Oryzias latipes: one gene and its partners. The protein of the gene in region 5 binds, or shares a complex with, the protein of the main gene of each other region. Links are inferred from orthologs where the notes say so. Each region holds a gene or a part of one and is shown on either strand. Other genes may lie near its edges.

Region 1 (3,610 bases), on a different chromosome or scaffold from region 5:
GATGCCTTCTGCTTTCTGTTTGTTAATAAAGTTGTTACAATTTGAATCAACGCCTGGCAGATTCAAAAGCTATTTTCCCATCAAAACTTAAACTTCCTGGAGAGGGAAAGCACTGATTAACATCATCATTTATGTCTTTAATACACTGAATGTGTTTTGTCAAATTGTGCTGTTTTCTTCCAAATAATCAGCAAATATATAATTATTAATTCTTACATTTTATTTTTTGTCAGGACAGCTTTCCATGAGCACATCACCATGGTAACTTGCTAACAACATCCTACTGAGGATGAATGAAGCTGTTTTTCTTTTTTCTTTAAAATTGCTTGTAAAAGTAAAAATCATAGTTTATCAAATTTATCATAGTTTCAAAATGTTCCCATAACCTCTTAAAGTTAAGGTAGCTCAGGTCATGTTAGTGAGGAAATATGAAGTAATGGATGCTAACATCCTCTTGAATGGCTGGCTGTTCTCTTTGGTAGATTTTGGGTTGAATCTCAGCCATTTGTTTTTTTAGTGAGTGCGAATTTATGAGATTTCCATTTTTCTGAGGGTCTAGCATGAATTCCTATAAACCTTTGCTTCATAAAAAACGTTTTTGATGTCTTTATTGATAGCAGGAAACGTGGATTGTATCTCCTTTCTATGCAAACAAAAGCAGCCGCCTCAAAGTTTTGTTTCTCTAAAGTTATTTTCAGCGGCTCTTTTCAGTGTCACTGTGATGATTTAAAGTTTGAAAAATGTTTTGGGAATTTTTCACAATCTTCCTTTGTAAAGGAAAAAGTAAAACAAACTGTCGCATTTTTTAAATGTATGTTTGATTTTATTTTTGCTTTTGATCATTACAGCTCAGATGTTCAACCAAAAAAAAATAAAACTAATCAGCTGTGCTTTTGCACAAATAAAAATCTATTAATACAATGAGTTTTTTAAGGTTTTCTATATATATATATATATATATATATATATATATATATATATATATATATATATATATATATATATATATATATATATATATAAAATATATCACACACTTCATGTGCATGTATTTTTATAGTTGTTTTGGTCATTTTCTAACTGCAAATAGTATTATTTGCCTTTGGCTGATCCCTTTTTAAACCAGATTACTCCTCCCAGCCGCACGAGGGCGCAGCACAGCAAAGGTCACAGGGTTTTACTTCCGGTCTCCCGGTCCACACGCGTTTCCTACGCGGTTTTGTGAATTGAAACACGACTTTGTTTCGTTAAAATACAGACACCATGAGCAAAGCGCATCCACCAGAGCTAAAGAAGTAAGTTTGCAAGTTTTTGAAAGATGATAGGCCTGATAGCTTCGGTCTTTTTCGCGAGATTGTAGTATGTTTCCATGTTAGCCACCGTTAGCCGGAACAGCTAGGAATTGAAGCTAAATCTAAATAATGTTTTTGTCTTTCAGATTCATGGACAAAAAGCTTTCCCGTGAGTTAAAACTCTCGTTTCATTATTTAATACATATTTCAAAATTACACTATATTTCTATTCATTCGCCGGCTTTTTCTTGTGAAATTAAATTCGCTTTTAGCTAAGCTAGCAGCCTTCATGTTCATCAGTTTGCTCTTTTTGTTTTCTTCAGTGAAGCTGAATGGAGGCAGACACGTCCAGGGCATCCTGCGAGGGTTCGACCCCTTCATGAACCTGGTGATGGACGACTGTCTGGAGATGGGCCCCGGGGGACAGCAGAACACCATCGGGATGGTGGTCAGTGTCCGAGCAGAACTGTGAAGCATGAGGGAATAGTTTAATTCAATGTTTTACCCCACCCGTAATAGCAGGACGAATAGGTTCAATTAAAGATCATACTCTTTATTTATTTTTATCTTTATTAGCAATTCCATCTTTTGACAATTTGAACCAATTTGAGTGCTGTCTACATAGATTTATAAAAACATGCACAACTGTTTTCCTAACAAACCAGACAATCCTATAAAGAAATATGAACCAATAAAATATGTTAGGGGTCTGCTAGTTAGTAACAAAAATGTAAATGTTCTAAAAATCATCTTTTTGATAAAGAAAATTTTCTACCTCACAAATACACTTTTTTTGTTTTAATTACTTTTTTTTTAACTCCTTTTAATTCACTACATTTTGAATAAAGAAATACGCAGAAAAGCAATTTTAAGCATATTTTTTTTAAATATATGTCCTCATCAGAAAAATGCCACAAGAACATGTCAAAGTAAATAAATTAAAGCAATCCCAGTTGGTCATTTAGTGGTTTTGATCATTTCCGGCAACTAATTTTTAATTTTTTCTACAAAAACAAATTTTGTTTCGAAGTTTATTCAAAATTCTTTAGTCAAAGAACCTATTCTATCCACTTTCTCTTGTAAATATAACATTATATTGATAAGACAGACTTCCTCGTTTGTTTTCCAGGCATCTGTATTCTAGTTGCTACTGGTTTTCTAGATCGGGAAGCTGCAGATTCTGCTTGATGAAATCCACCTGATCCACGTGACTAGCTGCAAATAAAGCAGGGTTACTGGAAAACATTTCCACATTTTTATGTGTAGCCAAAAGTTCATTACTACTTAAAATAAATACATCCAGACCAACAGGGGAGCCTCAATGCCTACTGAAAATCTCTCTTAAATATATTATACTGCCCCCCCCCCCCCCCCCCCCCCCCCCCAATACTCCAGCTTTTCCAAAGATGTCTAATTAGTTTATCTGAAACAAAACTGACCTGTCTTTACGGAAGAACAAATAACAATTGCCTGTTCCAGTGAATATCTGTGAAACCAAACGTTGGCAGGTTCGTGGTTTTTCCTGATGTGACAGCCTCAGGAAAGGGTTTAGTAGTTTTTCCCAAACTAGAACATTTCTCTTATTCAACACACAATTGTGTAAAAATAAATGTGTAAACGTGAAAAGATCTGATCTGTTTTCCTTTTGTCTTCCCGAAGGTCATCCGAGGAAACAGCATCATCATGTTGGAGGCTTTGGAGCGAGTATGAGCAGAGCACAGCGGCGCCTCCTGTTTTCTCATTCCATTGTAGTTCATTCACAATGAAAGTCTGTTGGTTTTGAGATGTTTGTTTGTTAATAAACTATTTTTCTTTTTATCCGTGCATTTGTTTGGTTTTACGAAATGTTACTGTATGTGTTCTTTCCTGTAGATGCAGCAAGAATTTAGTGTTTTTGTAATGGAGGATGAGCTGCTAAACAAAAAAAGAATATCTTAAATGTTAGGGTTAGTCTTATCTTAAGGAATTCGAAAGCTTTTTTTATAGCTTAGCTGTTAAAAAGCTATAATGGCTAAACAATGTTGGGAATGCTGGTGATGAAGACATAAATGCTGAACTATTTTAATAATTTGATAGACCTAAAGTCAGCTGAATATTTAAGATATGCGTAATTTCCATTCATGAGCTGGCAAACTTGTTATAAACTAGCAGGCAAGTATTTGTTCATAAAATATTAAAAAGTTGGATTCAGTTTGTTTATTCTTGAGCTCTATCAAGTTTAAAAGTTTCCACGTTGAAAGGAAAAAAATTTAAGGTATTTTAAAATTAAAAACATTAGCTGCTTGACACTAAAACAAAGGGTTACCAATTTTTCTAAA
Region 2 (4,288 bases), on a different chromosome or scaffold from region 5:
TAAATCCCTTTGTGCATTTGACCAATCGGATGGAGCCCTTTTATGTTAGATGCTCGCCTCATAGGTAGACGAGGGTCATTTGGAGTGTAAATAATTGAAACTATTTACATTTTACGAAACCCTTGTGATATCTTAGATGACCCCACCCTTACATCGACGTGTTCTCCCTACCATGACAAATGTGGATAAAGGTGGAAAGATGTCATGTAATCCATTGACACCAGTGAAGATCACAAATCATTGAAGAAAAAAGGTTTAGCGCACTGTCTAGTGGGTCTAGATGACCCAACTCCCAACGTTAAAATGTCTAGGATAGCACAAGGGTTAACCCTTGTTGTTGTAAAATTAAAATGCAGCTGTTTTTGCTATTTGTTGATATGTAGCAAGTATATTGTCATCGCAATATTGATCACCAATGTTGCAAATTTTCCTCATATCATGCCGCCCAAGTCAGGACTAAAGGGAGGAGAGCCAAACACTCACACGAAGGCAGAACTTCTGTAGATTTTTTTTATTTCAATAAAAGACACCTGAATTATCCAGACTAAGAAAGCCACAAACTTAGGCTTCCATGAGGTTTGGTATTTCTGCTGATTAGTGACAGTTGGTAGAAACGTATTCCTCCCATGAAAGCAGGATAACTTGGGTTTCTATATGTCTTTTTTTTTTAAATCTAATACGACTACAGACAAACTTTCCCTCATTTTTCCTTTGATGAGTATCTGACCTTTTCAGTTGGTGTCCAACATTTGAAAGGAATTATTTTCTGTCTAGTAAAACACATCTTTACCATTTTTCCATGAGAACAAATATACTCATTTTGCTGGAAGCCTGTTTTGAGCAAATTTCAAATTACTTTTATAAATGTACTTGTGCTTAAAAACATACAAAAACCATCTTAATATTCAGATTCTGATCCAGTGAAGACATGAGTCCTGTGCAAACTCCAGCTGCAAATGAGAGGAGGTGCAAGACCTGGACAAGCAGCTTAATTTTCCTCTCTTCATAACCAACTTTAGGGTGGATTTTGTTCAAAGGAAATCCTCCAGATCGGTTCAACATCTGCTGAAAACACCAGAAATTAAACAATCATAAAACCAAAACGGTCACTGTTTGTTTCCACTTGACTGTGAAGCAAAGTCTTTAGTCTTTGGGTAGTGGGATCCCAACAGCCATCTGCTGTCCCTGCATCTGCTGCTCGGCCTGCCTGACCTGATCCTTGGTGCAGCAGTCCTGCAGGAACACAGCAGCTAGGTTGTGCAGCCGGGGACTCTCAGCAAGAGAGAAACGCAGCATGCACTGCAAGATGCCTGGCTCTGTGAGCTGAGATTGTGAAGCTGGAGTCACAAGGTTCATAAGGGTAGTAATTGCTGATAGCACTGTCTCCTCCCTCTGGTTTGACAGACAGTTTGTGATTAAGCTGATGCCGTCACTGTCCAGGATGAGGTCCCTGCAGTCTGGGTCCATACTGAGGTTACAGAGCCCACCTGAGAAAATTTAGACCAAAAAAAATGTTTTTCACTGCATTTATGGTACAAAAAAACCCAAATGATAATCTAAAAAGATTCACCCATTCCAAACTCAATAAAGTTCTCGTTCTTCTCAGTCAACATATCCAGAAACAGGTCGGTCACTTGCAGCTGTCGCAGATACTCTGTGTTCTTTGGGTCGTAAGCAAAGTTGGCGAGGTTTGCCAAAACCTGCTCCTTTGCCTCTAACGACAACAGAACATAAATAAAAAACACAGAATCAGATTCAAATTCAATTAAATTACATATACTGGACATTAATGACTGAAACGGGAACAAGGACCAAAAGCAAGATAAATTTAATCCACCAGAGGGCGCTTTTTTACACCTCAACATTAAAAATAAGACTAAAGACCTGCATTCCTAAAAAATTATTGACGGACAATAATATGTAGTTTGATCCTTTATATATTGCATATAAAAGGCTGCAAAAGTCTATCAGCATAAATCATTAAATGGCATTTGTTAAATTTTGGTTTTATTGATTTTTAAAAAACGTCATTATGCATTTTTAATTTAGTATTCAAACATGATCGTCAGAATTACTAAAGCATAATTATTTAAAAAAAAAAATCTTAAAAGATAAATGCATTGTTTTTTTCCTGAATAATCTGTCCTGTTTCTAAGCATTCAGATTTTAAAAATTAAATTTTTGTAGTTTATATATATATATATATAATAAAATAAATAAAAATAAAAAAATAATTATATATATATATATATATATATATATATATATATATATATATATATATATATATATATATATATATATATATATATATATAAAGTGACTATCATGGATTGATATAAGTAAGACATGCTTTCATTACAATGTTTATGCATTAACAATTTAATTTCAAAGAATTTGTTGTAAACTAGCAATAATTCTTAGTTTTTCTAAATGAATCTGCGAGCTATTTGTGTTTTTACCTTCACTGTCACTATCCTGAAACTCTGTGACAAGAGCCTGTAAATATTCAAACCGGTCAGAGGTTTCGGGTGAAAAGTTCCGTTTCATCATTCAGTATCTTATATTGTGTTTTTAAGAAGACAAACGCGCGATTAAAACAAAAAAATAAAATACATTTGAAATAGTATCCTCATTTATGCATTTGGTTTCAGTAGTTCGTTCATTTTGTCCGTCTTTCAAATACGTCCGGCTTAAATTAGAATTTGGACAGTGGTTCCGGGATATTGTTTCGTGACTCTTTTTTTTTCTTCTTCTGAAGACTGGATGAACTGTTAACGCAACAGAATAACAATTAAAAATGAAACCCAAAAGTAGAATTAAGCTGTTCTTACATAAAAAAGAGCTGTCAATTTATTTTATCACTTAAAACGTTGTGATTTTTAATAATTAGGCCTATAATGTTTCGGTAATAAATCACTTTGATTTAATTTAATTAAATGATTACTTTTTGTCATAGACGATAAAAGCAAATTACTTTACGAAATTCAATTCTCAAACGGAAGTCGGTACTTCTTTGTCGACATAGACGTCAGTGCTGGACCGGAAGTTGAGGCGCTCCAACGTCCCTTCAGCTAACTAACTCACGCGCAGGAAGGTCAGCTGAAAACAAACTCACGTTTCTGTTGCTGTTTGGATTCTATGCCGTGAACCTTCTGATTTAAAGTTCTGCAGCAATGAAGCCTCACAAGCTCTCTGCAGCTAAAAGGCTCACGAAACCTATTCTGTTCGGGAGCATCATTGTTGGACTTGCCACTGTTTACATAAACAGGTGATCTATTTTCTTATTTTGTATAAAACAATAGGAAAGTTATAACGCAAATATAGACTTTAGTCTATATATTCAGAATATTTTTTTATGTGTTTAACGTTGGAGATTGTTGTCCTTGCGTAATGACGCTGACGTTTGATTGTAATCAAGTTTAAGAAAAACACTGAAAACATGTCTGTACTGTCCTTAAGTACAAATTAACATTGGAGCCAAACCATAATTTCATTAACAGGAAATTTTGTCTTTAAATATCTTTAGTAATAGGAAAAATACAACTATTTTTATTTTGTAGCCCTTTTTATTTCCAAAGCAAGGCATCACAGACACATACTCTTTCTTTGCACCACAAAAAATACTAACATTTAATTATATAAGTGTAAGACTGCAGGTAACAGCATTTTTAATTTATAATTAGTAATCATTTGTAATGAGACACTAATGTTTTTAATTAGTAGATTATTTAGCATAATTTCAGTTTTTGACCAGTATCTTCTACAACCTGGAGTGCAATTACTATTTAAAATAAATTAAAGAAATCTAAATAAATGTCTTTGTAAAATATATCTTTAAAATAAGAATCTTTTTTGTAAAACATATTGTGTTATTGGAAGTGGGGGGCTTTTTCACTTCACAAATTTCTCTTTTCTACATTGGTGTCACGTTTTTGACACTTAGTGCAGCTGCTTTTATCAGATTACATTTTTTAAATTTTTTTTAAATTTTTTTGTGTGAAATCTGCTCTGGTTTAGTTGGTGTACTGCTGCAGAGATTCCTTTTCTAAAAAAAAGTTTTAAAAAGAATTTGAGCTGCAGATTGTGCTTTTCCAAACCAGGTTACTGTCTTAAAGAGAGCCCATTTTTGCATTTTGTGGTTTAAAATGCAGCTTATTTTTGTGTCCTGTGTTTGTATTTTTCTGTCTTGCAGACACAGGTTCTTTGAAGATGTGGATGAACTTCGGGCCCAGGAGCGCGCTCGCAATGACGCCAAGAGGGGAGAGGTCATGGAGAGGCGGCAGAG
Region 3 (4,257 bases), on a different chromosome or scaffold from region 5:
CCAGCTGTCAGACATCATACAGAAAAGTCAAAACCTCAAACCTTCTCTTCATTTTTCTACCAAATTAAAGATTTGTTAGATTTTACGTTCATTCTGTGGCGCCCTCTGCTGGATTAAACAGTAAACTACTCATAACGTTTAGTTTAAAGATCAGCTCTGATCATCTTAAGATCTAGTGTCAAAGCCTTCCCAGTGGTTCTAATTATGATTACCCAGTTTGTTGTTGTGGCGAAACTGTTGGTACAGAGCAACCCCGCCCCCCTTTCCCTCGGAGCAGGGAGCTTGTTGCCCGCCCACCATATTTTCAACGTCACAAATACGATCTTAATCAAAAGGCATTTTGTCTTCTGCTCCTGATTCATTCTTCATACGTGTTCTCCATCATGAGAAAGATGCCACAAGAATATTAAAAAAAAAAAAGATCTTATGGATTTCTTTGCTGTTTCCCAAATAACCAAATGCAAATTTTCTGTTCTTTTCTACAAATGTTAAAAGATTAACCTTTAATTCCAGCACCCAAGTTTTCATCTAAATACTTATATTTTTCTGTCATTTTTTAACTAATATTTAACCTGAGAAAATTCACTCGACAAAGAATCTACTTTGGAATTTCAGGAAATTAAACATTTTAAAAACAAGTCCAGATATAAGACTTTTTTCTGAAGAGCTTAGAAAAGCGTAAGAAAAGATGTTACTGTTATGGTGGCGTGTCACAGTTTGGTAAAAACCCATTCCATCTGAGGATTTCTGCAACAATCATGTACTTTTCCTGCCGTTTATCACTTTTTTTCTACAAACTAAACAAGTAAAATGTTTATGGTAATTTCCTCTGAGTAAAACACAACAAATGTATTTCTTTTAAAATCTCATAATAAAAGATGACAAAGTTAAACAACAACCTTCATCTAAACAACAAGAGTTTCTTAGCAAAGGTCAAATTTCATGAAATCTAAATATACAAAGAATTATGTAAAATATGGAGAAGCAACACCGGTTTGGTGTGAGAGCTTTAAGGGTCTGAAATCTCAATTTTTTAAACAGATTTCTTTTATTCTACATGTGCTGCTATCTAAACAATAGAACAAAATGGTTTGATATGTTTTGGTAAGAAAAGTTGTTCCAGATTTAGAAATGCTAGCCAACTTTCATGCAGTATCAGGCCGCTGCAGCGACTGACTTACAGACTTAATTGCTCAGTGAAGGACAAAAAAGCTAAATTTGGAACATTTTTAGTTGTGATTACTACGGATAACCCTGATCAAAAAATGAGCATCACAGATAAATACTTAAAAAAAATAAGTGTTTAGAGTTGTTTTGACTTATTTACTGTTTAAATAACAATGTGAGACAACATTTATGATTTGGTTTGAATGACTTCATTGGTTCAGAGAAATGTTTTGTTATTTGTGCCCAGAATAATCTTATTGTGAAAAACCAGAAGTGTTTTCATTTAGAAACTGTATTGAGTTTGTTTTTGACTCTTGGATGAAGCGGAAAGTTCCTGATCAATAATTGCTGAACAGGATCGTTTAGCAAACTCAAAAAAGCCTCCGTCATCTTTGCAGAGGCTGTCACTATGCGACAGGAGCCATTTGACCTTTTTTTAAACGACTTTTTTTTATTAAAATGTTATATGATAGGATAGTTAGAATTTTTGAAAAAAATTGTAAACTGGTACAAGAAAAGCTGCTAATTGGTTTTCCACCAACAGTCGTCTAAGTTAATGCTCAGAATAGAAGACTGAAAACACTGTTGGTCATTTAGAAACATGTATAATAATAACAAACTGAGTACGATAAAAACACTCTTGACTAATTTAAAATAGATTGAATAAATAATTGCATTTACTTTTGAGTAGTTTGCCTCTGTGTTGCAGCTGCATTTTAAAATCCCAGAATAAACCCTGATATAGTTGTGAATGAAGCTAGAGTTGCTTTTACCTGCATGTTCATGTATCCGTCCACAGACACCAGGTAGCCTTTGTACTCCATTCCCCACTTCAGCTTCACCATCACTGGTTTCCCTGTCAGGCCGTTCAGGAAAGGCTTTGGGTTGAGGGGCAAACTCTGCGGCAGAGGGGATTGAAACCTTACATCAAGTCTGCAAACATGACGCTTTTCCCTATGAGATATTTAGAACTTTAAGTATGCGGGTTATTCATGTTATGGACAGTCTCCACGTCTGATTTCTTTACACCACCAATCATCAACAGGAGCGACTGAAGAACCAATCTGGACTGCATTAAAAAAATAAATTGAATAATTGGGAAACAGTACATAAATTCGGTTTTGGAGCAGTTTAATTATTCAAATGACCTATATACTTCTATTAATCTGTTGTATAATGTTCGACCACACTACTACCTGCAGAGGAACGTCATAGTTTTGTGTTGTTCCGACGGACGTTCATTTTCTGATACGGCAACACGTTACCCAAAACAAACAACACTTTAGTAAAAGCTCACTTGAATATCTAACCGTTTCATTTTTAAAGTTTTGTTTTTAGTGTAAGTTTGTTTTCCCCTACGAGCTGTGTAAACCAGTTATGAATGGGATGCTAACATGGCTAGCATAAACGAGCTAACTCTCTTAAATTCTTTGTTTTAACAAACTTCAATAAACCCAAAGGCCGTGTGAAATTACATATTTGAAGAGTTACTCACCATTTTGCTCGATTAAGTTTAGACCCGATTAACAGTAAATTAGAAGTTTATTATGTCTTCGTCACAAAAACGTTTTAGCTTCACAAACTAGAAGCACGCTTTGCCGCCGACAGGAAACGGAAGTGGCATCGAGCTTTTCGCCGCGCCTCACGTCGCCCCCTGGCGTTCTGGATGTATTAGTGCAACAAAAAGACTCGGACTATATTCTGATCACATTCCAGTGCATCTGCTTTATAAAGTCATAATAAAATAATCATAAATAAAATCAGTTTACAAAATGACACAACATCATTCACACAATTAGTAAACAACAAAAAATAAACAAACTATGAAAAAAAACATAAATAAACTATTTTATAACAATGAGACAAGACCAAATGTCAAAAAATAAATAAATAAGTGAAATTAAAAATGATTTATAATCAGATAATATAAAACCCAATGGAATTATAGAATTGTTGTCATCAGCTCCAGGCTGCTGACAACATGTGCTGACGAACTCTCACATTCTGCTGTTTATTTGAAAGGCTTGCATTACCGAGCTTTAATGTAAGAAAATGATTTTAGTTTTGTAAATGTTTCATTTGAGCCTGGAGCTGGAGAAGATGCCAAAACTGTGGATGACATCTCACCATACAGGCACTCACACTCTGTATCAACGCCAGGTAGATTTCACGTTTGCTACAGAGGAATCATGGTGCGAGGCGGTTACCAAGGAGGCAATGGCTAAGTAAGTAAGCTGAGAAGTGTTTATGACATATAGATTGTTGGGAAAACAGTGCGAGAATCAATGTGTGAGTTGGTGGGTCTCATCTTCAGAAGATAGATAGATAGATAGATAGATAGATAGATAGATAGATAGATAGATAGATAGATAGATAGATAGATAGATAGATAGATAGATAGATAGATAGATAGATAGATAGATAGATAGATAGATAGATAGATAGATAGATAGATAGATAGATAGATAGATAGATAGATAGATAGATAGATAGATAGATAGATAGATAGATAGATAGATAGATAGATAGATAGATAGATAGATAGATAGATAGATAGATAGATAGATAGATAGATAGATAGGGTTGGTTTCCCTTTTGGCTTTTCCCATCAGGGGTCGCCACAGCGAACGAGTCGCATGGTAAACTTGGCAATGTTTTACGCCGGATGCCCTTCCTGACGCAACCTTCTCAAAGCAACCGGGCTTGGGACCGGCACAGAAGTAGAGAAGGGAACAGGGAGCAGCCCGGAGTCGAACCCTGGTTTCACGGACGGAAGGCGCCGCAAACCAGCACGAGCTAAACCAGCTCCCTATATATCTATATATATATATATATAAAATTTAAAAAAACGCCCCTCTCACCCTCCGTGGGTGCTTTCTCCTCCAAGCTCGGGTCCTCTACCAGAGGCCCGGGAGCTTGAGGGTCCTGCGCAGTATCTTAGCTGTTCCTAGCACTGCGCTTTTCTGTACTGAGAGGTCTGAGGTCTTTCCAGGTATCTGTTGTAACCACTCCTCCAGCTTGGGGGTTACTGCCCCAAGTGCTCCAATTACCACAGGCACCACTGTCACCTTCACTTTCCAGGCTTTCTCC
Region 4 (4,004 bases), on a different chromosome or scaffold from region 5:
TGATAAACTTTCACAATTATGAATTTATTATCTCAACCTTCCATACGTTTATTGAAGAACTTTGTTAAGATTTGGTGGATTTATTACTTTATTTGTTGATAGGCGTGCCATTTGTTTATGTCAGGATTGGACGCAGATGTTTTAAAATGTCAAGTCTTGTGTACATCCCATATATTTGTTACCCTATAAATCACAATGTACAGAAATGGTGCAAACACAAATAAATGAGTGAGAGAACAAATCAAGGAAGCAGAATAATTTCAACGGGCCGCATGTGAAGATGCTGGAGAGGAGCTGGGTGTGGAGCCTGAGGCAGAGGACTTCACTCATTTTATCAGTTTACTGCTTGGACTGTTAAGCTAAGAGTTTCTAAAACATAGTTTCTGTGGCCTGCAGATTCAATCTAGCACTGGTGACAAAAAGGAAAAGAGAGTTTTGCACCTTTTCAGTTTGAGGTAGTGCTCCATCTCTCTTCGCCTCTGCGGCGTTATGAGTTCTGCCGTTTGTCTCGACTCAGACTGACACTGAATTCTGTCTTTGGATGAACAAGACTCTACAAAAATAAAAATAAAAGCATCAGTTGAAACAGAACCATCAGTTATTTTAAATAAAATATCAAAATATGATTTCTAGGAGCAGATTTTACCTGTGAAACAATCACTAGAATCACTTGTGGATGCATTGTCAGAAACTTCTGGTTTCCAACATGCAGATGGGAAATTGTGTTGAAATGTGTTTCCAGCAGTGCTCGACTGTCCTTTATTCAACTTTGTACTGAAAATAAATAAATAAACAGATATATGTTCACATCTTTACTTCCATTTTAAACTACAGATGAGTATTTTAACCTTAAATGATGACCAACCTGGTTTTTCTGTGGCAGCTGTTGTATGGAACAGTCTTCAGAAGAGCATGATGGGTAAGTTTCCGGGTCTGTGCCAGTAAAGGTGCCGAACTGGAGGGCTCCTGCAATCACAACAAAAGAGACTTGTCTCTCAGACTGAGCTCTGACAGACTCCAACTCAGCTAAATGCTCCATGTGTCCTCTGGCCGGCTCTGCTCATGTTTTCCACCAGCAGACACCCGCTTCAACTCACGCTGCAGAGTCTACAGGTTGTCTGAGTCACGTGGCAGCCACAAGCACGTACTGGATGTCACACAAGAATACGACTTATTCTTATATCCATATTTAACATGTTACAAGCAGCGACATAATATCTTTACAGGAGTACAGGAGGTGCATCCTTTCTACAACTGTCATTCCAAAACAAGTCAATAAAGTACTATAATTCAGCAACAATAAAAATTTAACCACAATAACACTAAGTATTTAGTCGTCTCTGTAAAAACGGTCGGTCGGTCGGTCGGTCGGTCGGTCATCACACGGTCATCATGTCATTGTTTCGTGTGATGGTCGGTCGGTCGGTCATCATGTCATTGTTTCGTGTGATGGTCGGTCGGTCGGTCATCATGTCATTGTTTCGTGTGATGGTCGGTCGGTCGGTCATCATGTCATTGTTTCGTGTGATGGTCGGTCGGTCGGTCGGTCGGTCGGTCGGTCGGTCGGTACGTCGGTCGGTCGGTACGTCGGTCGGTCGGTCGGTCGGTACGTCGGTCGGTCGGTCGGTCGGTCGGTCGGTCGGTCAAAATACAAAATTACCCGCAGGTAAAATGATCAAGTTGAAGCTCCAAACCTCTTTGTCTTCTGCTCTGACATAATCTTCATGTTTTCTTTTTGCAATTTCATTCTTGAACTTTGACTTTTTCCCATAAAAGGATTTTAAACCTAAAACACAAAACAAAAAAACACAACGGATATAAAAGCATGCACCAAAAGCACATGCATAATAAAACTTTATTTAAAAAATAAGAAAACATATATGACATATTTACATGTCACACCCATTCTGGAGTGACATTTACATCCATTTTCTACCAATACTCTGTTATGTAGCATTAATGTCGGAAAACAACGAACGTCAGGCGAATGATGCTCACACCTCCTGTCATTAGTGCCTTAATATGACACACCTGTTACATCAACAACACAGAAGATCTGTTTGGGGCCAAATGTGCAAACACTATCTGAGAGAAATGAGCCTACAGTGTTTTGTCTACATCTAAATATGACCACCAAGACACTTTTATACTGGGGAATTTAAAAATTTTCCACACTAAGAGTCACTTTTTAAGGAGGATATTTACCTTCTAAATGCTTCTTCCCTTGCCTGTGGACTGTCAACATGTCAACTGTGTCAAACACTGGGCGATACGAACACACAAGGCACGTGTACCTGTGTGGAGCGAACGCAGAAAGGTGAGTTACTTTCACAACAAAACTGACACTTAGGGTTTAGTTATATTCACCTGCCATTACTCAGAAGAGCAGCTTCATCTTCCGGAATAAAATTGGACAAAAGGTCAGATACACGCCGTTTCTGTAAACCAACAGCCCAAATCATCAGTAAGTATTTCATAGCAGATGAAAAATTTACATTAAATACTTTACCAAACAGTTTTCATTTACTCTGTGTACATTATATCCATATGAAACTTGCTACTAGCTAAGCTAGCAAAACAAATAAAAAACGACAGCGTATGAACTTTAAGAAAGCCTATTCTTTTATGAATACAATGTATTATATCATTTTAAATACCTTTAAAATATTAAGTTGGCTCCCATCATTTCCTTCCCTTTTGAATGACATAATTATATCGAAGTAAATCAATGGTATAAACACCAGATTAACGGCTAGCTCAATGAGTTAACTCATTGGGCTAGCTTCTCTATACGTCACACTATCCCGGAAGTGTTGGTAGTGCTGCATTCAGGGACAAACATGTACACTTTTTTTGTCCACGATTTCCAGCTAACCACGTTGCAGTTTCCCATCGTACCATTTCATTTATTTATGGTCAAGTTAACTAGTCTAACAAACCATTGTTAAAATATTATTTTACATTTAAATTGATTTGTTTGCATGTACTCTTAAGAAAGCATCGATGTGAAATGTTTATAACATCACATATTTTTTGTAAATAAATCGCGAAGGGGAAAAAAACTGCCTATTTTAATCAATGAAATTTTAATTCATACTAAACAAACTCTGATTAAAATAAAAAAAATAAAAATGTTATGTTTTCATTTAAATTTCAGTATTCAAATTACTTTGAACACAACCCACCCAATGAGAGCCGTCATTCACAGCGGCAGCCATGGCAACAGACTGCAGCTGACTGAAAAAAACAACATATTTAAAGTTTTTAGATATGTTTTTAGATTGTTTACTGACAGTTAAGCTATGTTTAAGGTGTTTTAAGTAGTTTTTCTTCAATTCCCGACTGTTGATAAGGTTCAGGCAGTGCCATTTCGGCACTTTGGCAAGAAGAAGATGAATTAGTCGATACTTTAGCAGCTAGCAGGTGAACTGGGCTTGCTAGTTTAGGACGACGTCAAACCAGTTCCAACATTAAAATTGCGTACGTGTTACTGATGATTTTCACATAAATAATTATCGGATATGTCCGGACAACGAGCGGCTTTGCCATCCGGGAGAGGCGGTCTTCTTCGCGGAAGCCGAGCTATGTCGTACGGCAGCTTGATGCGATCGTCGCCGGCGTCTCCGGTCCGCCAGAGACACGTTGAACACACGGTTCAGTCCGGAGACACGCTCCAAGGTCTGGCCCTGAAGTATGGAGTCTCTGTAAGTATAATAAACCAGATTTGTACTCCCTACTTTAGACAATTAAAACAATTTGAAATATTAACAAGGAACATCTTTTGTTTCCACACTAAAAGTAAAATCTATTCATTGGTTTTATGTTATGACATAATTTTTTTTGATTCTGACATTTGTTAGTTTAAAAAAAAAACAACAACATTCTTCTGTCTTCCAGATGGAACAAATCAAGAGAGCAAATAGGCTTTACACCAACGACTCTATTTTCCTGAAGAAGTCTCTGTCGATCCCTGTTCTGTCAGACCTGAAAGGGATTCATTTGTC
Region 5 (4,173 bases):
CTCAGCAGCTGCTCAGCTGTAATCTGCACATCTGCTGGGGCTTTGTTCTTCACCTAAAACGCAAAACACAGTCTTTACAAATGTTGCATATTCCCAGGTATCCTTATTTAAAATACATTATCAGTGGAAACATGTACATATAAGGTTTAATAACCGTGCTTTGCTAGTAAACTCCAAAATAAATACACATATTTCATTAAATACTTAATGATAAAAATAATAATAAATTGGACTTTTTTCGGTGTGTTCCAGAAGCTCAAAGCTCTTACAATGTGTCCATTGTTCATTCACTCCTCATACTTGGTGATGGTAGCTACTGTTGTAGCCACAGCCGCCCTGGGGCAGAATGACAGAGGCGTGTCGGCCAGGTCGTACCTAAGGCCCCTTTGACCATCACCGAGACATTCATACACATTATACCATGGTCCGGTTGAATACTCGATTCTGATTGGCTGCTGGGTATGCGTTAAAACCTGATAACCGCACGGTGAAAAAGAAGTTCCGGTCGGCTAGCTTAAATGATTTGTATCACTGCGCCGGCTTCTGTATAACAACCTTTTGCTTCATCATCGGGGCAAAAACAAGCGGTAAGAGGTGAACTTTCCCTCTGAATTGATGCTTTATTCAACCCATCGGGACGATCAGCATATATATTTATCGCCGAATCTTAACTGCAGCGGTGGTGCTGCGCGACGCGGACTATATGTTACGTGATGCGGCGCGATGCGCCGCATCACGTAACATATAGTACGCTGTTTATGAGAAAAGTGATACAAATCGAAAAAAAAAACAAGAATTAAGGACTAAAACCTGGTTAATATGTATTGCTTTTGTAAGTGACCATGGTATAAGCGGGTTAATGGCCTTCGAAGTGTGCGGTTACTACTTTTTAACGCACTTCGCGGAAGCAGGCTTCCACGGCGTGCGTTAAAAAGTAGTAACCGCACACTTCGTCGGCCATTAACCCTTACTTCACACACCAGTGGAGCAACACTGGAGGCAGGGAGGGTGAAGTGTCTTGCCCAAGGACACAATGCAACAAGTTTTAAGTGAGTTTCAGCATTTGGCAAAAAAACAGGAAATGGAAAAATGTGTTAATTTCAGTTCACCTCTGCAGTAAGTGTCAGCAATTCAATTCTCTAACTTTACCTAATTTAAAGTGAAAGAAATAGACAATCATAGACAAGTGAAAGAAATGTAAACCTGCTATAACTTGCTTGTGGTCACTGCACTGAAGGTTATGGCAAGCGTTGTTTGAATGGAGGTAAATATTTATCTGGTAAATTAAAGGAGACAAACCGAAGCGGCATAAATGGAAACCTTCAGCTTCGATTAACTAAGTTACGTAGTAATTTCGTTGAAAATATGTTCTTGCATTTGAAAAAAAGAGAAGCAAAAAGTGTATTTTTAAGACCATAGATTCCTTTTCAGTTTGCATTGCAGTGTCAATACAATAAGTACATTTTTGTTGTTGTTTTTTTATTGTTTTTACATGATCAAATCTTGGAAAGAAAAGTTGCTTAAATCACGACAGAGTTGCAACATTGCAGATTGAACATGTAGTTATCACAGTCCATAGAACATTTTACACAAAAATAAATAAATGCCAGGTTCATTATAAATATAAGTACAGTAAACTAGTTACTGGATGATAATGGTGAATGCTATACGTATGTGAGTTCTTTAGGCAAATCCAATATTGTTCCTTAAACAGGTTTTAAAATGAGTATTATGTCTATTCTACATCAAATAATACAACTTAAAATAAATGCCATAGTGTCACTTTAAGTTCAAGGAATAAGTCTAATTGAAAAAAGTGTATGTAAAAACACTTTGGGAAACAATCTGTTAGCAAAAACCTATATTAATGTAAATAATATTAAACGATTTATCTTCTAAATTATCCTTAAATATCACCCAGTAAAAAAAAAAAAAAACGCAATATATTTGTTGTTTCTCCCAAATGTATGGAATAAGTGCTCTTTCTGCCAGCGCCATGGTGAATATATTAGGCAAACATGTCTTTGTACATTGTCATGTTTTAATATTTCTGGCCTGATATAGTACACATATCTAAAGTAATGCCTGGGGAAATTGTTTTATTATCTCAACATAAAATATTTGTATTTCATAATTGTGTTTTCCAGTCAAACAACATATTCAACATGATAATAATTCTTGCAAAAACATTATAACTACAAGATGAAATTGATTTAAAAAAAAGGTTCCCCTTCTGTACAATTGTTTAAAAAATGATTTATAATTTTCTGTTTTGGAAAATGAATAAAGATTCGTCGCAAATTATTAAAACAATTAGCATATTGTTACATTTTAATTTAACTAAGCAGGTCACCATGTTGTTACTCTCTTTGTTAGAACTTTCAGAATAGTGTTAAATAAGTTTAGTTTTGAAAATTGTTCATTATAGTTTCTTATTGTAAAAATGTGAAAACGTTGTTGTTGCATTGTTACACATGTATTACACACTTTTTTTTTTAATGATTAAATAAAAAGCCAGCAATACTAAAAATGGGTGCCTTTGGGGGGAAAATGATTATTAGCATTAGCTTAGCGAAGCTGTTAAGAGAGCTTTGCTATTTCGTTCTCACTTACCTTAGCCACCTTTGGTATCCGCTGTTTTCCAGCAGCAGTAGAGGCCATATTGACTACTTAGCAAGTCAACAGTTTACGTTAAAATGCCAAGTTCAATTTCTAAAATGGTATACTGGTTAGTGACAACAACAAAATCGTTTGCTCGCTTGTTGCTCGGTGTGAGCGCCCATGACAGTACCCACAATTCATTTCTTTCTTTTAGCTTCCGGTTCCAACCTAGAAGTTCACGCCCGCTGTCGGCACCACGTGGACTGGAGTGTACAACGCAGAGAAGATCACGACATAGAATGCATTCTTATTAATGTTTAAAGAGAAATATTCTGAGTAACTTTATACAGATGCGTTTGCTTTTATCATCTGATTCTGAGTAAGAAAAATGTTGCTTTTTAGCTCTTTTGTGAATTGCACTTAGACCATTTTTTTATTATTTTGACATTTACAACAGAGTGATGATGTTTTTACCACTCAATAATTATAATAAATAAATAAATATTTTTTTTTTTGTAACCACTGTTTAGAATCTTAATTTGCTGATATCTTGAATATCTGACCAAGTGTCTGCAAATAGGTAATTTTGCAAAAACGTTTTATGTTAAATAGGAAAAAAAGCCAAGTTATTTTTTCCCTTGACAAATAACTTTATTTATTTATTTGTTTTCGTTTGTTTGTTTGTTTATTGTCCTTTGATAACCCACAATGCATTGGGCTACAAATGGTTCTACCCGCGCGGCGTCAGTTGCTGTGACAACTGCCCTTGAAAAAAAAAAAAAAAAAAAAAAACTTTCGGAGCTACTCTGTCATTCCACAGTTATTGAACAGTAAGTTGCAGCTAGTATGTGGATTGCTTTATCTAAAACAAGGAGTTAGTAAACCTTGTAGAAGAAAAAAAAGAAGAAGCTATTTTTACTCGTTTTTTGCTTATATCGCGACTTTTTTTCCCGGTTTTCTCCTGCTCTCACTAGATGATCATCATGAAATCTGAAACTTTAAACTGTCTAGCTGAGGACGCAAGCCGTCAAACTATCGTTGTAGGAGGTGGATCAGCAGACATTGAGTGGATTGAGAGCCTAACAACCTCCACAAGTCCAATTTTTGGAAGAGTCAACGTTGTTCAACTTGAGTAGGTCAATTGTATTTTAAAAACAAAAAATCTACAGACTTGTAGCCTATGGTGTCTTTGACATTTAATCCCATACAGTCAGTGTTTAAAGACCATGGTAATTTGAAAGAAAGAGTAAACATGTATTTGCTTTTGATGATAAATTATTAACTTAAGTTATTTATTTTTATAAAATAATTTTGCTTTTTTTTGTCTTTTGGGATCTTCCTTGTAGAGACAAAGCCAGCTTCGCCCTGACAGTGGTCAATGAAAACCAGGACATTGTGGCCCATGCTGTCTTCGTCGATCATCCCATTGGAGACTTGGTGGATCAGGCCCAGTGGGAACAGTTTCTGCACAAACACTTCAGCTCCCCACAATGCACAGTTTGCGTCACTTATTTAATCATCTCTTTAAACATAAATGTTTTAAAAAAGACTAATTATGTTGCGGTTCTGTCT
Region 6 (3,176 bases), on a different chromosome or scaffold from region 5:
ATATTTTCAATCATTTTTGTTTTGTTTTCTTTCAGATATGTGGATTATCCCATTTATGACGTTCTCCAGATGGTGGGCAAAGCAAACAGACCCATGCTGGATGATGAAGGACGATGCGTCATTATGTGTCAGGGCTCTAAGAAGGTAAACATTAGTGGTTTTATTGTTTGTTTTAATCCATTTAGGATTGGAGTAATTATTGCACAACAGTATTCTTCTAATCTAATACTATATGGATTCTTCTTAAAGGACTTCTTCAAGAAGTTCCTGTATGAGCCCTTGCCTGTGGAGTCTCACTTGGATCACTGTCTCCACGACCACTTCAACGCAGAGATCGTTACCAAGACGATCGAGAACAAGCAGGATGCCGTGGATTACCTAACCTGGACGTTCCTCTACAGGCGGATGACGCAGAACCCCAACTACTACAACCTGCAGGGTGGGCAGCATCCCTCCGAGAGGAACATCAGATTATACTGAGGCCGTCACAAGATTGTTAGTTTTAAGAGTCGTGTGTTTTCTCTCGATGTCAGGCATGTCCCATCGTCACCTGTCTGACCACCTGTCAGAGCTGGTGGAAAACACGCTGCACGACCTTGAGCAGTCCAAATGCATCAGCATTGAGGATGAAATGGATGTGGCACCACTCAATTTGGGCATGATTGCTGCCTACTACTACATCAACTACACCACCATCGGTTTGTAGCAACCGTTGCTTCTCTGTGTTGGTTAAAGCCGTGTCCTGAACGCTGAGCATCACGCTGTAACTTTGCTCTTATGTCTGGCAGAGTTGTTTAGCATGTCTCTGAACGCAAAGACGAAGATCCGCGGGTTAATTGAAATCATCTCCAATGCTGCTGAGTATAAAAACATTCCCATCAGGCACCACGAGGACACACTTCTTCGACAGGTAAGCAGACTCCACAGTGGGAATCCATCATCTTTCATTTTTGTTGCAGCACAAAGTCTAACCGTTTATTTGACATTAAATTGTGGATCTAATTTTACATTAAAGCTGGCACAGAAAGTTCCCCACAAGCTCAACAACCCGAAGTTCAACGATCCCCACGTGAAGACGAATTTGCTGCTGCAAGCTCATCTCTCCAGGATGCAGCTGAGCGCAGAGCTGCAGTCAGACACTGAAGAGATCCTGAGCAAGGTTCACGTTTGAAATGCTTCTCTCCTCCCTCTTCTGTGAATGTGTGTGTAAAGCTGATCCCACTGTGTGTTTGCTGCATGCAGGCGATCCGCCTCATCCAGGCCTGCGTGGACGTGCTGTCTAGTAACGGCTGGCTCAGTCCTGCGCTGGCTGCCATGGAGCTGGCCCAGATGGTCACCCAGGCTATGTGGTCCAAGGACTCCTACCTGAAACAGCTGCCCTACTTCACCTCAGAGCACATCAAGCGTTGTACTGACAAGGTGTTTCGCATCGTCTGACTGCTGCTTTTGTCTTCTGTCAAAGCTCGCACATTTAAACTGAAAAGTTAAACCTGTGTGTTTTGTCTCCAGGGTGTGGAGAGTATATTTGACATAATGGAAATGGAGGATGAAGACCGAAGCGGCTTGCTGCAGCTCACAGACGCTCAGATGGCAGACGTGGCTCGCTTCTGTAACCGTTACCCCAACATCGAGCTCGCGTATGAAGTGGTAGAAAGGGATAACATAAAGAGGTTAGTGTGCAGTCCAATCAAGAACTATTCAAAACAATGATGCATTTTTGGATCAGATTTACATCAGCACTGCCCTCTGGATAAAATTTGGTCTGTGTTTTCTTCAGTGGCAGTCCAGTTCTGGTTCAGGTTCAGCTGGAGCGTGAGGAGGAGGTGACTGGCCCTGTCGTCGCTCCCCTTTTCCCTCAGGTCAGTTGAGTGGCTGTCCACTTCCCTATAGGTGTTTCCTACATTTGCTTCATCGTTTGATCGTCTCATCGTTGCAGAAACGTGAGGAGGGCTGGTGGGTTGTGATCGGAGACCCGAAGTCGAACAGCCTGATCTCAATCAAGAGGCTGACTCTGCAACAAAAAGCGAAGGTGAGCCGCTGCTTTGAACACTCCCTAACCAAAAATACGCAAACTACCACAGTTTTCATTTTTGGTTCTTCTGTGTAGGTCAAGCTGGACTTTGTGGCACCAGCGATGGGCATTCACAACTACACGCTGTACTTCATGAGCGACGCTTACATGGGCTGTGATCAGGAGTACAAGTTCAGTGTGGACGTGAAGGAGGCAGACAGCGACAGCGATTCAGATTAAGCTGGAAATTCAAATTCTACATTTTTAATCCTTTTTTTTTTTTCAATAAATAATGGGATCAGGTTTTATATGTAGATATTTACCCCGATCAATCTCTGAGAGTGACCCTGTCAGTTCTCTGTGGGTGTTATAACATGTTTTCGTAGTCAGTACAATCGTTTTATCCTGTATGTTAAACAGCTTTTCAGAAGTTTTGTGTTCTTTACGTTGACCATTGATGTACTTTTCACAAAATTATTCAAAGATAAGTCTAAGACATCTTAAACTGCCGTTGAACAGCTGAGTCTCATCCACATTGCATGTTTAAATAGATTAGACTTTCCATTTTACTTTGGTTAAACGTCATAAGATTTTTTGGATTGGTTAAACCGTTTAATCATTCATGCTGTCTGTTTGTTTTTTGCAATAAAAACATCTGAAAATTGTTTTATAGTTTTATTATGAAACAATTAGTTCTTAGTCTGGCCCCTTTTATGCTACAAGCTCATGTCACTACAGCACTTAATGGATATTGACAAGATTGTTCTTGATCCCCTCCCTTTATCCCTATATATATCCCCACACCTGAAATGTCTGAATAAGCTTGCAAAAATGTCTTTTGGTAATGGAAATAACTGCACTGAATGAACTTGTTTTCAAGTTTGGTAGTTGGGTTTAACCCTTGTGCTATCGTAGACGACTCCCCCCCCCCTTACATTGACGTGTTCTCCCTACCATGATAAAGGTGGAAAGATTTCATGTAATTTATGGATACCAGAGAAGATTACAAATCATTGGAGAAAAAAGGTTCAGAGCACTTTCTAGTGGGTCTAGATGACCCCACTCCCAATGTTAGGATAGCACAAGGGTTAAATTAACAGTGCAAGCCAGTTGGTGAGCTTTGACTACTGATAGTGGTGTTGTGCTATCCTAGGCACTTTACCAT
Region 7 (3,500 bases), on a different chromosome or scaffold from region 5:
ACAGGCAAACAACAAGCTAACAGGCAAACAACAAGCTAACAGGAAAACAACAAACAAGCAACAAGCTAACAACAAACAATAAGCTAACAGGCAAACAACTAGCTAACAGGAAAACAACAAACAAACAAGCTAACAACAACCAAACAAGCTAAAAACAAACAAACAAACAAGCTAACAGGCAAACAACAAACAAACAAACAACAAGCTCACAACAACCAACAAGCTAACAGGCAAACAACAAGCTAACAGAAAAACAACAACCAAACAACAAGCTAAAAACAAACAAACAAACAAGCTAACAGGCAAACAACAAACAAACAAACAACAAGCTAACAGGCAAACAACAAGCTAACAGGAAAACAACAAACAACCAAACAACAAGCTAACAACAAACAACAAGCTAACAGGCAAACAACAAACAAACAAACAACAAGCTAACAGGCAAACAACAAGCTAACAGGAAAACAACAAACAAACAAACAAACAACAAGCTAAAAACAAACAAACAAGCTAACAGGCAAACAACAAGCTAACAGGAAAACAACAAGCTAACAGGCAACAAACAAACAACAAGCTAAAAACAAAAAACTAACAACAAATGAACAACAAACGAATGAACAACAAACAAACAAACAACAAACGAACAGCAGGTGAACAGCTGGCGAACTACAAACAAAATATGAACACACGAACAACAATCAACCAAAAAGTACCATTGTAAAAGTACCAAGTAAGTAACCAGTAAATTCCATAAAAAGTACACATGTAAACACTGTAAGTACCCAGTAGTTACACAAAAAGTACCATGTAAATACCGCTTAAGTACACTGTAAGGACTGTACTGTAAAGGAAAGCGTTACTGAAAACCTTAGAGCCGGTTTCCAGGGGGGTATTCCAGACAGTAGGTTATGCTAGCTCTCACGGTAAGTTTGAGGCTAAGGAAGTTGATAACCTCAGCTTTCAGTTCCAAAAACAGAGGTATGTTTCAGGGTATGTCAAGTTGCCATAGCAACTCATGCTCTGAACATAACCTGGTCTGGAGCAGGTTTAGTTGAAGGTTAGTTTGTTTTCAGAGAGGTGAAGCAGCATGGCGTGTCCATTTGAAGATGATTTAGTGGATGAAGAAGCTCAGATAATACTTTTTCCACCATGAGAGGGGGATAAGACCACATATGGATGTTGGAAAGAGAAACTTTTTTACTTTGATCTAACTTAGTTATTTGCTTCAGTTAAGATAAATCCTTTGTTTGTTAAGTCAGTTTAAAAATAACACGTAGTTTTCAGACAGTCATTTTACTTTCATTCAAATTAATTCAATTAAGTAGGTTTAACTTTGGTGCTGCTGTTAGACCGGCACCGCAAGGGATTGTGGGATACCATTCCTTTTGCCTATCTGGACGGATTTGGGTTTAAGTGTGGCTTTTTGACCAAATGTGTTTAGTTGTTTAGCTGTTTTGCCGAGTTATTTTGTCCCACTGTGCTTATGTCTCTGCACCATGAGTGAGAGTGAAGGAGAGGATGATGAGTTTATAGAGCACCCCTACCGTTACATATTGTAATGACAAAGACGGACAATTCTTTAATGAATTTGTGCACAATGTGCATTTCTTTCCCGTCCTTTTTATTGTTATAAAAATGAACATATCTGCCGGCTCATACTTAGACATATGAGAGATCAAGAAATATAATTAATTAAGATGGAAAAATATTAATTGAATTGGAGTAATATGACATTTAGTTAGATAAATACATAAATTTGAGTTGTAAAAACAATTATTGAGTTTTATAGACGTAAGAAATTAGGTTGATTAAATTTAACTCAATTATTTGTTACCAATAGAAGTATTTCATTTAAGGTGGCAAAATTGGATAAGTTATATATATATGCGTCACAAGGAAAATGGAAATAAGATCAGAAACTCGTGCGTTTACTTTGTCTGTTCTTTTTCTCCAAGCAGAAACTTTCTTTTGCTGATGATGCAGCCGTGTCACTTTTTTGATGGTCGTATAATCTTCATACGCCGTCATTAATCTCAGACTCCGTCTCACTGAAGTATAGCGTTCTCTTTTTTTCTCCACGCGTTTCCATGGTGACTCCAGAAATCGGCGATCTATTGAGAATGTCTTTATGTACCTGCTGTGCACGTGCATTAACCCAGGGTTACCAAGTGGAGCGTAATTACACCAACTCATATCCGGTCTTTGGGAACCGACATACCCAGAGTAAGCAAGTTCAGGCAGATTTCAGCCAGAGTTCAGGCTTAAAGTCAGGGGAGTTTAAACATGCTTCCTGGAATACCCCCCTGAATAACTGCAATATTGATAATAAAAACATACATTTGTTGACTCCTTGAACATCAGAAAACCTGGTTTTCAGAGAAACGATCAACTATTCATTGAAGAAAAGCTGATGGTTTTAAAATGCCGACAAACTAAAAGGACATTAAAGGCAAGAGAGGCTTTCATGAACTCAACGTTTTGATTTAACATGATGGATGTAAACCTGGAGGCACGCCTCTTCGCTGCAGCGCTGAGGATTTGCGGCCCTCTCGTCCTCGCGTGCACATTTGTTGACACGGCGTTTGAGCAAAGCCGACAGCTCAGTGAGCAGAAAATGAACGTGGAGCCACAGACTTTACACGTTTCTGCTCCAGTTGCTGTGAAAGCTCAGACTTCACCTCATTTGCTGTGTCTGTTCTCTCAGACCACCTTCACCTCCAGACCGCCATGTTCAGGAAACCTCTGTGCCAAACGCAGCCCAGCAGCAAAAAGAAGCTTCAAAATGAGGAGAAAAGCTGCTCCAGTCTGACTGATTAGCTGTCATGTCAGTCAGTCCAACTCTGCTGTAGCTGCACACCTGTCTGTCTGGCTCCCTCTTGTGTTGGAAGCAGATATGGCACTTTTCATGAGCTGCTGGCTAAAAACGAACAGCTGATCTGACAGTGAAACGATCCAGACGGTTCATTTTACTGACAGAGCTCTGCTCCGTGAAGCAGCTTTCATTAGAGGAAAAACCAAACAGGTTGGCATCATTAAAAACCTGCTGTCCTTGTTTTCCAGTCAAACAAAAAGGCAGCAAGGCTCCTACGGTATTTATCATGTGACCAGGAACAGCTGAGCCATTGGCTTCATTTGTCTGAGTTGAAATGATGGATTTGAAAAACAAAAAAACAGCTGAGATCTCTGCTGCATGTGGGAGGGGCTGAGTCACTGCTGCATTAGGCAATTGTTCAGCAGTAAAAACAGAATCTGCTTCATAATTATTCAACAACTCTGAGGAGAAGAACAAGAAGCTCTGACGCTACGCCAAAACAAAGTGTGTCAGAACAACGTCAGGAGGAGTTTATTCCTATCAGGGTTCTACTCACAGCATTTAGTTTGTCCGTTTTCTTGGCCTCCGGCTCCTTCATGGTGGAGGCCAGCAGCTGATCTCCTTTGTATTCCTTGTAGAGCTCGGCTAAGGTCTCCCTGGTTTCCAGATTGGTGCTGTTCAGATGGTA

What was found.
Region 1: crnkl1 (region 5) and snrpg share a complex: the UniProt entries of both Homo sapiens proteins name them as parts of the minor spliceosome. The link is inferred for Oryzias latipes from reciprocal best matches to the Homo sapiens genes CRNKL1 and SNRPG.
Region 2: crnkl1 (region 5) and armc7 share a complex: the UniProt entries of both Homo sapiens proteins name them as parts of the minor spliceosome. The link is inferred for Oryzias latipes from reciprocal best matches to the Homo sapiens genes CRNKL1 and ARMC7.
Region 3: crnkl1 (region 5) and snrpf share a complex: the UniProt entries of both Homo sapiens proteins name them as parts of the minor spliceosome. The link is inferred for Oryzias latipes from reciprocal best matches to the Homo sapiens genes CRNKL1 and SNRPF.
Region 4: crnkl1 (region 5) and scnm1 share a complex: the UniProt entries of both Homo sapiens proteins name them as parts of the minor spliceosome. The link is inferred for Oryzias latipes from reciprocal best matches to the Homo sapiens genes CRNKL1 and SCNM1.
Region 6: crnkl1 (region 5) and snrnp200 share a complex: the UniProt entries of both Homo sapiens proteins name them as parts of the minor spliceosome. The link is inferred for Oryzias latipes from reciprocal best matches to the Homo sapiens genes CRNKL1 and SNRNP200.
Region 7: crnkl1 (region 5) and ppil2 share a complex: the UniProt entries of both Homo sapiens proteins name them as parts of the minor spliceosome. The link is inferred for Oryzias latipes from reciprocal best matches to the Homo sapiens genes CRNKL1 and PPIL2.

The regions. Positions count from the first base shown.
Region 1 is NC_019865.2:4,866,768-4,870,377, reverse strand, and holds snrpg (small nuclear ribonucleoprotein G), read left to right. Parts: upstream 1-1,149; 5' UTR 1,150-1,263; coding exon 1,264-1,295; intron 1,296-1,438; coding exon 1,439-1,461; intron 1,462-1,615; coding exon 1,616-1,740; intron 1,741-2,951; coding exon 2,952-3,002; 3' UTR 3,003-3,110; downstream 3,111-3,610. UniProt on the Homo sapiens protein: Plays a role in pre-mRNA splicing as a core component of the spliceosomal U1, U2, U4 and U5 small nuclear ribonucleoproteins (snRNPs), the building blocks of the spliceosome.
Region 2 is NC_019877.2:19,372,906-19,377,193, reverse strand, and holds armc7 (armadillo repeat-containing protein 7), read right to left. Parts: upstream 2,801-4,288; 5' UTR 2,554-2,800; coding exon 2,463-2,553; intron 1,715-2,462; coding exon 1,571-1,714; intron 1,488-1,570; coding exon 1,144-1,487; 3' UTR 497-1,143; downstream 1-496. UniProt on the Homo sapiens protein: As a component of the minor spliceosome, involved in the splicing of U12-type introns in pre-mRNAs.
Region 3 is NC_019881.2:20,375,325-20,379,581, forward strand, and holds the start of snrpf (small nuclear ribonucleoprotein F), read right to left. Parts: upstream 2,801-4,257; 5' UTR 2,666-2,800; coding exon 2,663-2,665; intron 2,067-2,662; coding exon 1,941-2,066; intron 5-1,940; coding exon 1-4. UniProt on the Homo sapiens protein: Plays a role in pre-mRNA splicing as a core component of the spliceosomal U1, U2, U4 and U5 small nuclear ribonucleoproteins (snRNPs), the building blocks of the spliceosome.
Region 4 is NC_019874.2:27,122,062-27,126,065, forward strand, and holds the start of scnm1 (sodium channel modifier 1), read right to left. Parts: upstream 2,801-4,004; 5' UTR 2,709-2,800; coding exon 2,658-2,708; intron 2,439-2,657; coding exon 2,368-2,438; intron 2,295-2,367; coding exon 2,206-2,294; intron 1,787-2,205; coding exon 1,695-1,786; intron 967-1,694; coding exon 866-966; intron 775-865; coding exon 647-774; intron 554-646; coding exon 442-553; intron 1-441. Other genes in the region: lysmd1 (lysM and putative peptidoglycan-binding domain-containing protein 1), read left to right, coding at 3,522-3,704, 3,898-4,004. UniProt on the Homo sapiens protein: As a component of the minor spliceosome, involved in the splicing of U12-type introns in pre-mRNAs. Plays a role in the regulation of primary cilia length and Hedgehog signaling.
Region 5 is NC_019882.2:16,307,262-16,311,434, reverse strand, and holds the start of crnkl1 (crooked neck-like protein 1), read right to left. Parts: upstream 2,801-4,173; 5' UTR 2,662-2,800; coding exon 2,614-2,661; intron 54-2,613; coding exon 1-53. Other genes in the region: cfap61 (cilia- and flagella-associated protein 61), read left to right, coding at 3,576-3,733, 3,948-4,098. UniProt on the Homo sapiens protein: Involved in pre-mRNA splicing process. As a component of the minor spliceosome, involved in the splicing of U12-type introns in pre-mRNAs.
Region 6 is NC_019867.2:18,366,173-18,369,348, reverse strand, and holds the end of snrnp200 (U5 small nuclear ribonucleoprotein 200 kDa helicase), read left to right. Parts: intron 1-35; coding exon 36-144; intron 145-249; coding exon 250-439; intron 440-533; coding exon 534-698; intron 699-788; coding exon 789-910; intron 911-1,015; coding exon 1,016-1,159; intron 1,160-1,242; coding exon 1,243-1,419; intron 1,420-1,509; coding exon 1,510-1,670; intron 1,671-1,777; coding exon 1,778-1,859; intron 1,860-1,936; coding exon 1,937-2,029; intron 2,030-2,107; coding exon 2,108-2,251; 3' UTR 2,252-2,676; downstream 2,677-3,176. UniProt on the Homo sapiens protein: Catalyzes the ATP-dependent unwinding of U4/U6 RNA duplices, an essential step in the assembly of a catalytically active spliceosome. Plays a role in pre-mRNA splicing as a core component of precatalytic, catalytic and postcatalytic spliceosomal complexes.
Region 7 is NC_019867.2:618,824-622,323, reverse strand, and holds part of ppil2 (peptidyl-prolyl cis-trans isomerase-like 2), read right to left. Parts: coding exon 3,369-3,500; intron 1-3,368. UniProt on the Homo sapiens protein: Has a ubiquitin-protein ligase activity acting as an E3 ubiquitin protein ligase or as an ubiquitin-ubiquitin ligase promoting elongation of ubiquitin chains on substrates.